2 linked regions of the Daphnia pulex genome follow. The protein of the gene in region 1 interacts with the protein of each later gene in a pairwise test. Links are inferred from orthologs where the notes say so. Each region holds a gene or a part of one and is shown in the gene's direction. Other genes may lie near its edges. The genes, in order: hexokinase type 2-like and uncharacterized protein LOC124190201.

Region 1 (6,466 bases):
TTGAAGTTGCCCATTGGATATTAACGGCATTTGCGTCATCTCAGTGTTTGTTTTTTCGCTTGCCATTCTAAACACACATCGCCTGGCCCGGCAGGTGCTTTTTTCTTGCCAGAGAAAAAAAGTGTAGGTTTACAAGTTTGTTTTATTAATTAATACGAATTAATAAGCGCGTCACGAGTATGAATGTCAAGAATATGGACAATCTTTTTCTTTTCATCCGTGTGTGGCTAGTTCTTAAGAATCCTATAATGTGACCCTGCCTGAGGTGAATTAATTGTGGGATGATTCCGTGAAAAAAAAACGAAACAAGAATGTGTCTGTGTGGACTGAATCAAAAAGGGGAGTGAAGAAAATTAAGGTCAGTTTAGTTGGCTGTCTGGACGTAAGATGGCGTCAAAACGCTTTATTTACATCCCCTATTTCACCCTCGAGTTACCTTTAAATTATGGGGCGATGATTACTAGATAATTATATACGACGACGATGTACCATCATCGTGGCGAACGTGGCAAGAAAAGATAATGAGGCTCTCATTCAAACAACCGTCGTCAGTCGAGTTCCATTTTAAGCAATGCCCTTTTTGGCCCACCCCCTCCCAGTAAAAGCGGACTGGTTTTTCGATGGATGCGCGCGCACTGGCCGATAGCATCTGGGCCATCAATTCACTGTTTCTATAGCAAATGAATTGTTATTTTTCCCTTCAAAAGCGGCTTCGATGACCCCCCCAATATTGGGAGCATTTGTTTTCGTTCATTTTGCCTCTCTTGTGCGTCTATTTTGATCCTTACCGAACCCAAAAGACGCGAGTGCCGGTCGAAGATAGCAAAGGCGGAGCTCATCCAGATTCTTGACGCCAAGAGCTGCGTCGACGACGTCGGCGCAAGGCAGGTTCATGGCCTGAACAACGACATCGAATGTCCTTTATATAGTCAGTTGTCAATGTGACGTTAGCCGATTCCCAGTTACGCCGAAAAAGTTCCCGTGAAATCCATTCAATCCCCCCAGTACACCTCTTCCAACCGTCCGGAAATTCGAGCCGACCCCATGTCCGTCTCATTCTACCTTCCCGAATTGGAATTAGAGAACCCCAGATCAAACAGAAGCGAGGTATAATTCTAGTTAAATGTCATCGTAGTGTCTGTGTCAATCAGGAGTTACCTAGAAAATAGCCAGGCTGCCAAGTTGTGGGAAAACCTTGGAGATCATCAGTATTCTAGGACGATATGGATTAGAGCGCCCTCAATATTTTTTTGACACACACTCCGTGTTTGTGTATTGGTGTGTGTGAGTGTGACTTGAGTGTGTGTGTGTGTGTCTGTGACGTAGAAATAAAGAGAAAGAGAACGTCAATACTCGTCAGGGACGCTGGCGAAGAAATGGATGATGCAATTTTGACCAAAACTCCGCCCAGTATGTCAGACGAGCCTCCCGTTCGGCAACCAACCGCAATGGGGTGTTCCCAATTTTGTCAGAAAAGTTGTACAATTTTGTGGTTTTCCATTGCAAGTGAAAATGGGAAAACAATTTTCCGTGTCTGAATCATTAATCAAATACTTCATATCGTCACTCGGCGTCGTATTGACGCCATGACGGCACTAGTACCGCTCTTATCGATCTATTTCACAATCCGTCAACTCGATTTCATGTAACGGGCGCACTGAAACCTAGCCAGGCTGACGGCCGGCAGCCGCCAAACACACCTTAATTCACTATGGCAATCGTGAAAAGAGCTTTCATTCGATTAACGAATATTACGCCACGGAAAAAATGGGTAATCATAAATTCCCCCTCGTATCTCGGTTGCCAAATTGAAACCTATCCAGGAGCCACCATATAATACTCTAAACATGGTTAGATTGCATTTGGCGGTAAGTAGGATTTTTTGTTTTCGAAGGCTGGCGCTGACGCAAGGTTATCATCACACAAGTATAGATGAAGTTGACGTGAAAACCGTTGGGATTTTTGGTTTGCTTTTATTCGCGAAGGTCTACGTGAAAAAGAACATGACGCCCTTTTGCGCGCGCGGCGTCCGCCAATGACCTTTACTGGATTATTGATTTTCCGTTTCCCAGCCGGCGCAACGCTTTGCCCTTCGCCTGTTCTTTAGCCATCGATCCAGCCATCTATAACGGGTATTTTTCTTTTTTTTTTTTGCGCTACCTACTGCATTTCCCTGGCCACTGCAACCTTGGCTGTTACAAGATCGATCCCTATTTGTGGGCCTTTTTTTGTCCTTATTTACGGATGCTACTTTTTTTTCCACTAGTGCGGAACTTGTCAGTGTGTAGAAGGGCCTGGAACAAGAAAAAACAAAAGTCGATTCGTCAGTGTGGCGCAGTACTGGCTCCTCCTGGGGCTGTAATATCCGGGATAAGGATCATTATTACACTTTTCGCGAAATGTTTCCTGGAAACTTTTTAATTGAAAAAATGTCTTTGCAATCACCTTAGGATGATGGATGTGTGTGTGTGAAATGGCAATGCCCAGTGCAGGGGAAGGGAAAAAAAGATGCAGGACAAGGTTGTCGTTTCTGCGGAACGTCCAGCCCAGTGGTTCCAGTCGGCAGCACATTTTCATTTGCACACGTGTCGGGATATATAAACGAGAGCGTCCAACATCCTGGCCAGACCTGCCACCATCTCGATCGAAATACGACAGGCATTCGTCCATCCCCCCGTGAAATAAAGTATCTAGTCGGAAAAATTTTTTTCCAGTGAGTAGCGCAGAATCAGATTTCGTACGACTCGGCCGAGTTTCACTGGAGATATTGCCCGGTCAGCAGGAAACCGCGCCCCGCCACTTTGATTCGCCCCTTCTTATTTTTGCTTCACGTCACGTCAGCCCACCAACTTCCCCAAACCACCATATCTCGAAAGAAAAATACAGTTTAATTTGTCTATTGTTTCACCAGAAAAACAATTAGAATTAGCCTACATCCAGTGGGATCGAGTTGTTGGAAGGTGTCGGTTTTGGATACGGCCGGACTGCGCACTCCTGTAAGGGAGAACTTCACTTTGCCACCGCTTCAGCAATAAAATAAAATAAAAAAGTGGGAAATTCAATCCGCCCGATTCACGGTGGTTGGCCAATCATCGGACAACTGTCAACTGATCCTACGTGCTGGTTGTAAAAAGGGGATTGAAAGAAAGAAGAGCATATAGTATATGCGTCTCAACGAAACCGTGTCATTTCACGTTTTAAAAACTCGTCGATCTCAACTGCCAACTTACCAGTCATCGTCAGGCCGTCTGTCGTGCTCCAGGTCTCCTTTGAAATCAACCGAACATCATCCCAAATCGCTTCCACTTTGGTGTGGAAGTTTGCGAACTTGATCCCACGTGATTTTTTGTTTGATTGACGGACGAAATGACGGGCAAGTGCAGGATCTGGCGTTCCATGTTGATGCGCTGGCTGGCCCGCATTAGCCGGGCCAAACAGCGACTCGTTCCCCGACGCGTAAGTGTTCGCACCTAATAACCCTTTTTTTTAAATTGTTTAAAAAATCCCAAAAAGTTCAAATCGATTCCTAATGGCAAAATGGCGTAACGGAGATCGGGCGGATATGGTGGTCATCGATACGAAAGCTTATGGCTGTGTGCAGCACGAACATATGGAAATCAAAGTCGAGACTTCCCGCTAGTGATGAAAAGAGAGAACCCACCAATCTGACAGTTTATGACTTGTTTTACATCTTGGCGTCCATCGTCGAAAATTCAAAGGTCTCTCATGTTCGTAAGCTGATCCTACACGTGGATCGATTTATTCCCTAGCGAAAGAATTATCTCTTTGATTAGATTGCGTCATATCGTATCTTCCAGTCCAAAGAGCAAACCAGTCGTCGAGTACTCCACTAAATAGCCGAGTTGCTAAGCTAAAATGAAACGTTTCTTTTTTAATTTTTCATTCTTCTCTTTTTTTTTATTATTGAACAGATCGAAGAGCGATGCGCGGAACTTATCTTGTCGGACGAACAACTACGCGACGTGTGTCAACGATTGCTGGTCGAGATCAACCGAGGACTCAATAAGGACACCAATAAAGAGGCAACCGTCAAATGTTTTCCCACCTACGTCAGGGAACTGCCCAACGGCGAAGGTAATTCAAATGAAATATTAATCGTCTAGGATTTTGTTCGGTTGGTATTCGCTAAGCGTTGCGCAATATCAGACAAAAGATAAAATAAAAAAGGTAGTTGGCGTCTCTCCAACTTGCCATTATAATAAATCTCTACATGTATGCATAGCGTCAATGTCTGCAACATTTTTTAGGAGATGGCTTTGTTCCATTTCGGCATGAGGCTGAAACGTGTTCACCGTCTACTAGTTTATGACCTTGCCAAATTGCGTAGCAACATTTTCCGAGACCCCTTAAATTTTCGTGAAAATAGGAAATCAATTCGAAAATTCATTCAAAGTCAAGGCTAAAATAATCACACCGTACATGGCTTGTAGTTTGTAATGTCTTGGGCAGCAGCAGCATGCAGCCACTGACCCGTTAACCTTGAGTAGTGCCGCTACAAACCAAGTCAGTGTCCGTGCGTGATACTGACTCCAATGCGTTGCGTAATTGATTCAACTTTGAATTTAATACCGTTTCAATCCGGTAGAATGTGGAAAATTTCTGGCGCTGGATTTAGGCGGAACCAACTTTCGTGTTCTGCTCATCGATTTGGGTCCTCACATCTTTCACATGGTTCGTTCACATTCCGTCAATAATTTCGATTGATTACGTCACGTTAAATGGTTTCTTTTATGTCAATGCAGGAGTCGAAAATCTTTGCCGTTCCCCAGAGTGTCATGCTTGGTCCTGGAACCGGGGTACATCAAATCAAAGTTCAAATTCCTTAAATAATTGACGATGTTGATTTCTTTTCATCTGTGCAGTTATTCGACCACATCGCTGAATGTTTAGCCACTTTTATGCACGAGCATATGGTGGACGTGTCGCCATTGCCCCTGGGTTTCACTTTCAGTTTCCCTTGCAGCCAGGAAGGTTTAACCAAGGCCCGATTGGCCACCTGGACTAAAGGATTCAAGTGTTCAGGCGTCGAAGGCGAAGATGTTGTCAGACTTCTCCAGGTTCGTTTGATTGAAGAAAGAAAAAATCAATTGACTTGTATCCAATGAATGAGCTAATGAAATACGTAATCTGGTAGGAGGCAATCGCTCGTCGGGGTGATATCAAGATCGACGTGATGGCCGTCCTGAATGACACGACCGGGACTTTGATGGCTTGCGCCTGGAAGAACCAGGCATGCCGGATCGGTCTCATTCTCGGAACTGGAATCAATGCGTGCTACGTGGAGCGATTAGAGAACGTACAACTGTGGGACGGCGATTACGAAGAACCTAACCAGGTCGTCATCAACACGGAGCTGGGCGCATTCGGCGACAACGGAACGCTCGAATTCATCCGGACCGAATACGATCGGACCATTGACCAGCATTCACTCAACCCTGGACGGCAATTGTACGCTACTCACGCTCACATTCAATTCGTCCGTCGCCCCTGATACTTGACCAAGTTCTCTCTCGTCTTTCTATTTTTCTGTTCCAGATTTGAGAAAATGATCTCGGGAATGTACATGGGTGAAGTGACTCGTCTCGTTTTAGCCCAGTTGACACGAGAAGGACTTCTCTTTGATGGCATGGGCCCAGAAGTGTTATTCGAACCGGGCCAGTTCTTTACGAAATACGTCTCTGAAATCGAGAGGTGCGTTGGTTTGGACACTTTGATTTATTGTTATGACTTACAAATTAATTTGTTTTGTTTTTTACTTCAGTGACAAGAAGGGTGAATACACGTGCTGTCGTCAGGTGCTGGAAGAGTTGGGCTACGAAGATGCCTCGGACGAAGATTGCGCCAACGTGCGCTACATTTGCGAGGCCGTTTCTCGACGGGCGGCCCACATCGCCGCTGCAGCCGTGGCTTGTCTTCTCAACAAGATGGGTCAAAAGCACGTGACGGTGGCCGTTGATGGCTCCCTTTATCGCTTCCACCCTCACTTCCATGATCTGATGGTTGAAAAGATCCGACAGCTCATCAATCCCGGACTAACGGTGAGTCAGTCTCTCCTCCGCAGGCTCACAATAACAAAGTCACTATCAATTTTTCCCCATCATCAACTTGGAAATGAAGAGAAAAAACAATCTTCCGAGTTGATGAACTCTTCGATAAAACAAGAGACGAAAACAAGGAAAAACCTGTCAATTTTTTGTTTTTTAAAAACAAAACAAATCATTTTCTTTCCTTGTCAGTGACGCTCTCTAGCGATAGACAGCAGAGACTTGTTGTTTTTCATTTTTCATTTTATTTTTAAAAACAACATAATTCCTGTTTTAATAATTGTTTCTTTATTTTTGAATAATTGCAGTTCGATTTGATGTTGTCGGAGGATGGAAGTGGTCGAGGTGCTGCGTTGGTGGCCGCGGTGGCCGTCCGAATAGGTAGTCTGGCGGCTAGGTGA
Region 2 (6,792 bases), on another chromosome or scaffold:
TTTTTTATTTGTACCATTTATGTTTTTTTTTGTTTACACGTTCAATGGTCCAAATGTCCATTCCTTCCATAATTCCTTCCGATAATAGGGATCATCGCTACATTACAAAAACGCCATTTCTCAACTTAAAAATAGTGCGATGATGCTGCTTCTTGTTTGTCGATTGGAAAAAAAAAAACAAGAACACATTCCGACGGCGTGCCTTATGTAACAGAATGCTTGTTGCCGCCATTTATTTTCAAAGTTTCTCGCTTCATATACTGTGTTTCGAATCATAATTTTATCGTAATGTTCTGTTTCTTTCCAGATTGCCCTATTAATTAATGAATAATACAAACATACTGTTTTAAAGCCATTATCCGTTTCGTCATTATTATTCAATTTCCGGTGTCATGCAAATGGGGATATCCGTTGAGCTATGAGTTTCATCTTGATGTGGATTTAATTGAGTTTCAATCAATCTACTGCTGCTATCAAATGAACAGCGCTGTCCCTCAAAAACTGAGATTACAGCATTCGAATTCCGTACCATTTTGCAAATTGATGTTCAAATTTATTCGCGCGCTCAGCTCGACAGATCGGATTGCGTTTTCTAGATTTGAATCTTGGCCGCTAGATGGTAGCGCTGAAACCATTGTTTTCATTTGTTATCAAGTGATCTATTTACAGAAAGTCAAATTTTAAATCGTAAAATTGATTAGAATAGTATTGTCACATCGCAGAAATTTCTCGAGATATTCTAACCTTAAATTTTAGCGAATTTCTGAATTTAAATCGCAAAGCCTTACCTATTTAGTCAAATGTGAAACTAGTTTGTGCAAACAATTGTTAGAACTCTCAAAATACATTCCTATCGGTAATTTTATTATCTTCTAATAATATTTCAACGCTCGTTTATAAAAAAATACAATTTGTGTTTATGGAAATAACGTAATCGTTTAAGATTTATCTTGACTTCCCGAATGCGGTCATCGGCCATATTTTGGAAGATGTATAGATTGGAAAGACATATGGCCAAAAGAACTAGTATTTTTCAGTGCACTGGTGGCGGTGCCTTGTATCCGGAGCTTCAAAATTTCCCCATTTCTTCCATTTGCTGAGTCGATTGTGATCATGTTGTGAATTCCAGCCGCATGGAGCGCTGGGTGAAAACTAGCAGACAAACGAGTTCGATTCTCTCCGGTTCTATGGGTCGACAAGTTTTCACAACAACAGCACAGATCACGTACCACTGTAGCTTGCAGCAGTTGAGCTTCAGGCTTTGTCGAACAGAATCTCTCCAACGTTTTCATGCAAATAGTTTGTTGCGTGTGCTTTCACGAAAACCAGTTTTTGTCTTGTTATCGCTTCGAGCAGCAGCTGAATAAAGTAGCAGGTAATCTCGTTGTTTTTCTCTTGTACCTAAAACTTCCTTAAATTTAACAAATCTAATAGCAACCAGACGAAGAAATAACCTTGAAACGATTCATTTAACTAATTGTGTTGTTGTTTGTTCCCAAACCACAACGTCCTGAACATTGGACGTCGTTTAATAGTCTATTTTTCTGTAACAAGACACACCTTAGAACGATCTCGTTTAAAAGAAAAAGACCAAGGAAATTGAGGACTGTTGGGTGTATCCATTTTCAATGTGGCCGAAATGTTGATCGTTTCCGCTTCGTATCTAAAATCATAACAAGTCGATGAAATCCTCTGTAATACGAAGACGGTGTAAATTAATTAGTTAAGCCATTAAGAAAGAAGAAAGACATTAATTTCTTTGTCGCTTAACGAGACCAAAGAGACGAGGTGGAGGGAGTAGCCGGGGGTGTGGTGGTGAGCCGATCACGTGCTCGAGTCGTGCTGCGCTGCGTGAAAATGTATCGGGAGAGTTCTAGGACACAGACACACACACACACACCGGCCGGCCCTGCCAGATCTCGCATTTCCTTTTCGTAAATAAAACGAGTCCTCAATAGCGAATAGTGTGTTAGTAAATTGCACGTTGATCTGTTTCCCCATCGTACGTGGGTGTACGGTCATTCCGATGTTTTGAGTAAATTTACAACGGAAACGAGGAATCAGTTAACTGACATCCTCTTATTCTTTTGTTATGTAAAAAAAAAAATAATTCGTATGACGTCATGTTTGTTTGTTGAACTGGACTTGACCGGCGAAGGCTACTGGATTCTTTTTGGTCACATTCCCCAATATGGAGAAGAGAAAATGAAATGAGAGAATTTTTCAAGACTTGAGAGTTGGACAACAAAACAAGACACCAATGGTCTCGACCACTATACTGCGCAGTAGTTTAAAATTCTAATACTATTGCAAAAATAAGAGGAACTGTTTTCGAAATGCGTACGTGATAAACATTGTTGTTTGTTTTAGACCATGGGTTATTATTGTTTTGGTGGTTTGAATCCTAATCTTTGGCACAGATAAACATTGTTTGTGGGAAGATAACGAAGGTAGCAAAAAGAATAGAATTAGATCAACCTTTGCGTCACCGATATATTTTGAATTGTTTAATTTTTAAAATAGTATACAATGTTATGAAGAGCATACAAATGTTGTGTTGTTGACCAAATGTCCGAAAATCCCGAACGCGAAGCCATTTTATTTTTCCTGAAGGTCTTTCGATGTTTGTTTCAGTTGAATGGGTTCGTTTTTTTTTCGGGACTAGTTATATCGTCAACAACTTTGTATTTCTGTATCGATATTTTCGAGTATATCGTCTGGCTGGGACTTGACCCTTTTCGTGCCTCTTTTCGTCACACTGCCATTTTGGATGTGAACCGTATATGGAGTTGTTTACGTCCAGCAGAGAACGTCTGAGCTGAATTTTAAATTATTAGTACACCTGTACCTTGATAATGCCCTTACCATATTTGCTAATTATAAAAACAAAAACAAGTTTGTTACATTTTCAAAAAAAGACAAGAAGAGAAAAACCCAAAGCTTTTGCCATTATGGCACCGAACGAACTGGTACACTTCTTTTTTTTTGCGCAATTTTGCGCAATAGAGTCAATGGAGGTAGGGTAGCTTTCGCCTTTCTCTGCATGAGAGAGAGAGAGACCGGCATCGATTTTCACGGGGCCGAGGACGTACATCAAGAACTCCTTGGTGCTGCTGGTGTTCTCTTTGCTCCTATGACGGAACTACTGTCCACGTGTTCTCAGTGTGCTCGCTTCGTGATTGTGGGGCCCCCCACTTCCCGACCTGGCTATTGGTCGCTGGCGTCGCAGATAAAACGTCACGCAGTTGCGCCGACTCACGACGCCACTCCTCCCGCCCGACCACATAAAGCCAACCTTCAGCTCGTTCACGCCAACCATTATTCTCTGTAAAATCTGACGGAACGCAGTGTGTCTCTCTGTCTCTTGTCCAGCGTATTCAAGTTTCGAAATTAATTGCCTTTTGTTCTCTTGCGATTGTGTGGACGATATTTCATTCTGGTATTACATTCTTGATAAAAAAGAATTTCAATATAGATTTCGTTAAAAACAAAAAATTGTGCAAAAATGCCCGTCGAGTGTCTCATCCCCGACGACAGGTTAAAACTTCTTTTGTTTTGTTTTGGTTTTTGTTGGGTAGTAGCTGCACAGGCTTAGAGAAAATCGATATTTTGGCTTTTCGATCAATCCAAGCAGACTAAAACTTGTATTTGACAAATGCGCAATACCGAAAGCAGCAATTCTTATTGATGGCTTCTTTGTTCTTTTTGTAGGTTGTCGAAATATCCCCCAACAATTCCTTCATCAAGAATGAACAGAGTGTGCAAGCAGGTTAGCATCGAGAGCCCGGCCACGGTCGGTATGAGCAAGGAATACGTCTTCCAATATGACGTCATGGTGCCTGATGTGCCAGCCTTGGGAGCTCGAGTTAAAGTACGTCGTACCTTCCTTTGTTCTTGCACTTCTTTCATCTTCTTTTATTAAATGTTTTTGTTCTTACTTAATAGGTGATGTGTGCTGGAGCTTGTTACCGGCAGAGGTCTGCCAGTGTTTCCAGCACTTCCAGTACTTGCTCGATGGGCAGTGACAGTGGATGCACCACCAGTGCCTCTCATCGAGGACTTCGTGACTCTTCCTTCTATCCAGGCTATGAAGTGGCTGGAGTAGTAGAATCTATCGGTGAAGAGGTCGACCCCAGCTGTGGAGTTAAAGTTGGTGATCATGTCATTGTCTACCCATTTGATGAATGTCCTCCAGGGTAATCAGTCATTTCGACTTTTTTCTACCAACACCTTGCTTTACATGTTTCCATTTTCTCATAATAGCTATGCTGAATATATGAGTGTACCGGAAATTGAATTCCTGGTCAAGATCCCAGACAATATGTCGTTGTCCGTAGCTGCCATGCTACCATCTGGCGCCCTGTGGGCTCTCAACACCGTCCAGAAGGCCGAGAGCGTTGTTCGACGCATCTCTGAAGAGAAAGGACCCGAGGGTAATGACACAACATTCATCAATCACGTTGACAGAATACTCATTTCGTTCTTTTTGCTTTTTTGCCAAACAGGAATGTGCCACATTCTGGTCGTCGGTACCGGTGGCCTGGCTCTTTGGGCTTTGCGTCTTGCTCGATTTTACTTCAGCGAGAAACAACACCGCGTCCATATTGCCGTGGCCTGCCTTCGTGATGAAGGATTTTGCTTGGCTCAGGAATCTGGAAAGTATGTTGCAGAAGCTGATTAAGTGACGCCACGTGGAAGTAATCCTATAATGTTGTCCTTGCTTGTTTTAGGGTGGATGTTATCCAATGGAATGAGGAGCTTTACGAGCGCATTCTCATTGAAAGGACCAAAGATGCCTGCCATGGTCAGGTTGACGTCGTCATCGATTTTGGCACAACTTCGCGCAGCCTCAACCGATCAATCCAATGTCTACACAAGGGCGGCGTAGTTTTTCTCGGCCATGAAACAGCTGATCGACTTTTACCCAAATTCTCGCGCAAGGCCGTCGAATACGGCATCACCATTGAACCCGTCGAAACGGGATCTGTGCAACAGCTCAAAGAGCTGGTTGACCTTGTTCACTCCGGCAAGGTATTTATCAACTTTGATATCTGAAAAGGAAATGTGTTTCAAAAAATTTAATTTCTCATTTTCAGGTTAAACCTCCACCGCACAGCGTTTTCCCAGCTGAAGAGGCTTCTGACGTGATCAACAAACTGTGCAAATCTGAAATTCCCGGCAGGGCCATTTTGCAATTCCATTCCTCAGCTCAGTAAAAAAAAGAAAAAGGAAAACAAAGATTTAAATAAGATAAATTAACGAAAAAAAAATATGGCGTGTAGGGGGTTGTAAAATATCCGCACAGTTGACTGGAGGGTGAAACAGCATCCGTGTAATACCCAGCACATTTTTTTTAATTATTATTATTTTTTCTTTTTCCATTATTATGGCCCACATAATTTGATTTTGCGTTCCAGTTGCGACTTTTCTGTCAATTCCTTCTAATCAACATTCTGTTGTTTGTTTTTTGTTCGGTTGTATTACCGAATGAAGAGCTCTGGCTCGATCCGTCAAAGTGCACTCCCATTCAACCTCTTAATTACTCCATCAACTCAGTGACAAATTCTTTTCATTGTTTAGTAAATAGGCAGGAAGACATTAGCAATCATGGCAGTTGAATTGAATCTTTTCTCTATAACTACCGTTTTACAGTATATCTCTTACCGTTCTTACCCATATACTATTTAGACTAAAGCCCGTATGTACCAGAGTCAGGGACTATACACTTGGGAGACGTAAACTGTTGCTCTTGTGACTTGTCTGTGCGGGTCTAATATAGCGTTCTCACGAGAAATCGCAAGCGGGTCAAAGCCAAGGGAATCAAAAGACAAACCAATTTGTCTTTTTCTAGGGAAAAGGCAATTCCTTGGGATTTGTCTTCGCTCTTTGCTGTGGCAACTGTTCCATTTGATTCATTTTAGTGTATTTACTTTACAATGGTTGCAATTCAATTATTTCGTTTAATTCCATCGTCATTCAAGCAACGATTCAATTGAGAGAAACTCGGTTTACGCGGGTGATTGCGTATAGTGTCTAGAGGAGATGGAACTCTTTGATTTCTTTTTATTTTGATTTTATTTTTCAAAATTCTTTTCTGTTTTTGGGGATCTCAAGTAGAGAGACGTTGATCGAAATTCGGCTCGATAGATAAAGCGTCGACCAGAGTGAAAATTTTAGTTAAAATTGAAACAAAAACAATAACAGTCTGAAAGTCTGAGATGGTAGGATGTAATCGATTAGAGAAAAGCACACACCGGTGAATGATACAACTAGACAATTTAATTCTGATTTTGTTAACTGATGTTGCCCTTCTCTCCCCCCCCCCCCCTGTCCTAGAGAGAGTCGTGTCGACCACCGGCACTCCATTGTTCTTGTTTTATTCTTTCCGATTCTTTGCAATTATTAAAACAAAATTTTTGTCATTAACGATGATGTTATAATCTAGCGTCTGATTTGGAAAAAGGATCGATGGAGAGCAAGAAAAAATGGGATAAATGAAAACCAATGAGTCATTTCTCTCTTAATTCTAGTAGGGGCGTTAACAATTTGAAGAAGAAGAAACAAGCATTTATTAGTTCTTTTAACCAAATAATAACGCTGTCTGAAAAATCCTTAACACGTGAATCGTCTCCCCCCCAATTTTTCTTTGATAGTGAAGAAGAAGAATAAGAATCGTTTCGATCTGCGGATATAACATTGATTGTGATGGATCGTAGATTTATACAAGCCCCCCATCCCGGCCTCCTCCCAATATTTTGCTTTCACTCGTTGATGGAAACCTCTCTTGTTTCC

Evidence for each region.
Region 2: the proteins of hexokinase type 2-like (region 1) and uncharacterized protein LOC124190201 interact in a two-hybrid assay, tested with the Caenorhabditis elegans proteins (2 studies listed by BioGRID). The link is inferred for Daphnia pulex from reciprocal best matches to the Caenorhabditis elegans genes hxk-1 and ZK829.7.

Annotation. Positions count from the first base shown.
Region 1 is NC_060018.1:5,020,597-5,027,062, forward strand, and holds the start of hexokinase type 2-like, read left to right. Parts: upstream 1-2,379; 5' UTR 2,380-3,366; coding exon 3,367-3,456; intron 3,457-3,932; coding exon 3,933-4,095; intron 4,096-4,606; coding exon 4,607-4,692; intron 4,693-4,763; coding exon 4,764-4,817; intron 4,818-4,883; coding exon 4,884-5,078; intron 5,079-5,155; coding exon 5,156-5,469; intron 5,470-5,556; coding exon 5,557-5,712; intron 5,713-5,782; coding exon 5,783-6,059; intron 6,060-6,373; coding exon 6,374-6,466.
Region 2 is NC_060019.1:10,429,209-10,436,000, forward strand, and holds the start of uncharacterized protein LOC124190201, read left to right. Parts: upstream 1-2,333; 5' UTR 2,334-3,505; coding exon 3,506-3,537; intron 3,538-3,711; coding exon 3,712-3,871; intron 3,872-3,945; coding exon 3,946-4,196; intron 4,197-4,263; coding exon 4,264-4,659; intron 4,660-4,730; coding exon 4,731-5,031; intron 5,032-5,096; coding exon 5,097-5,216; 3' UTR 5,217-6,792.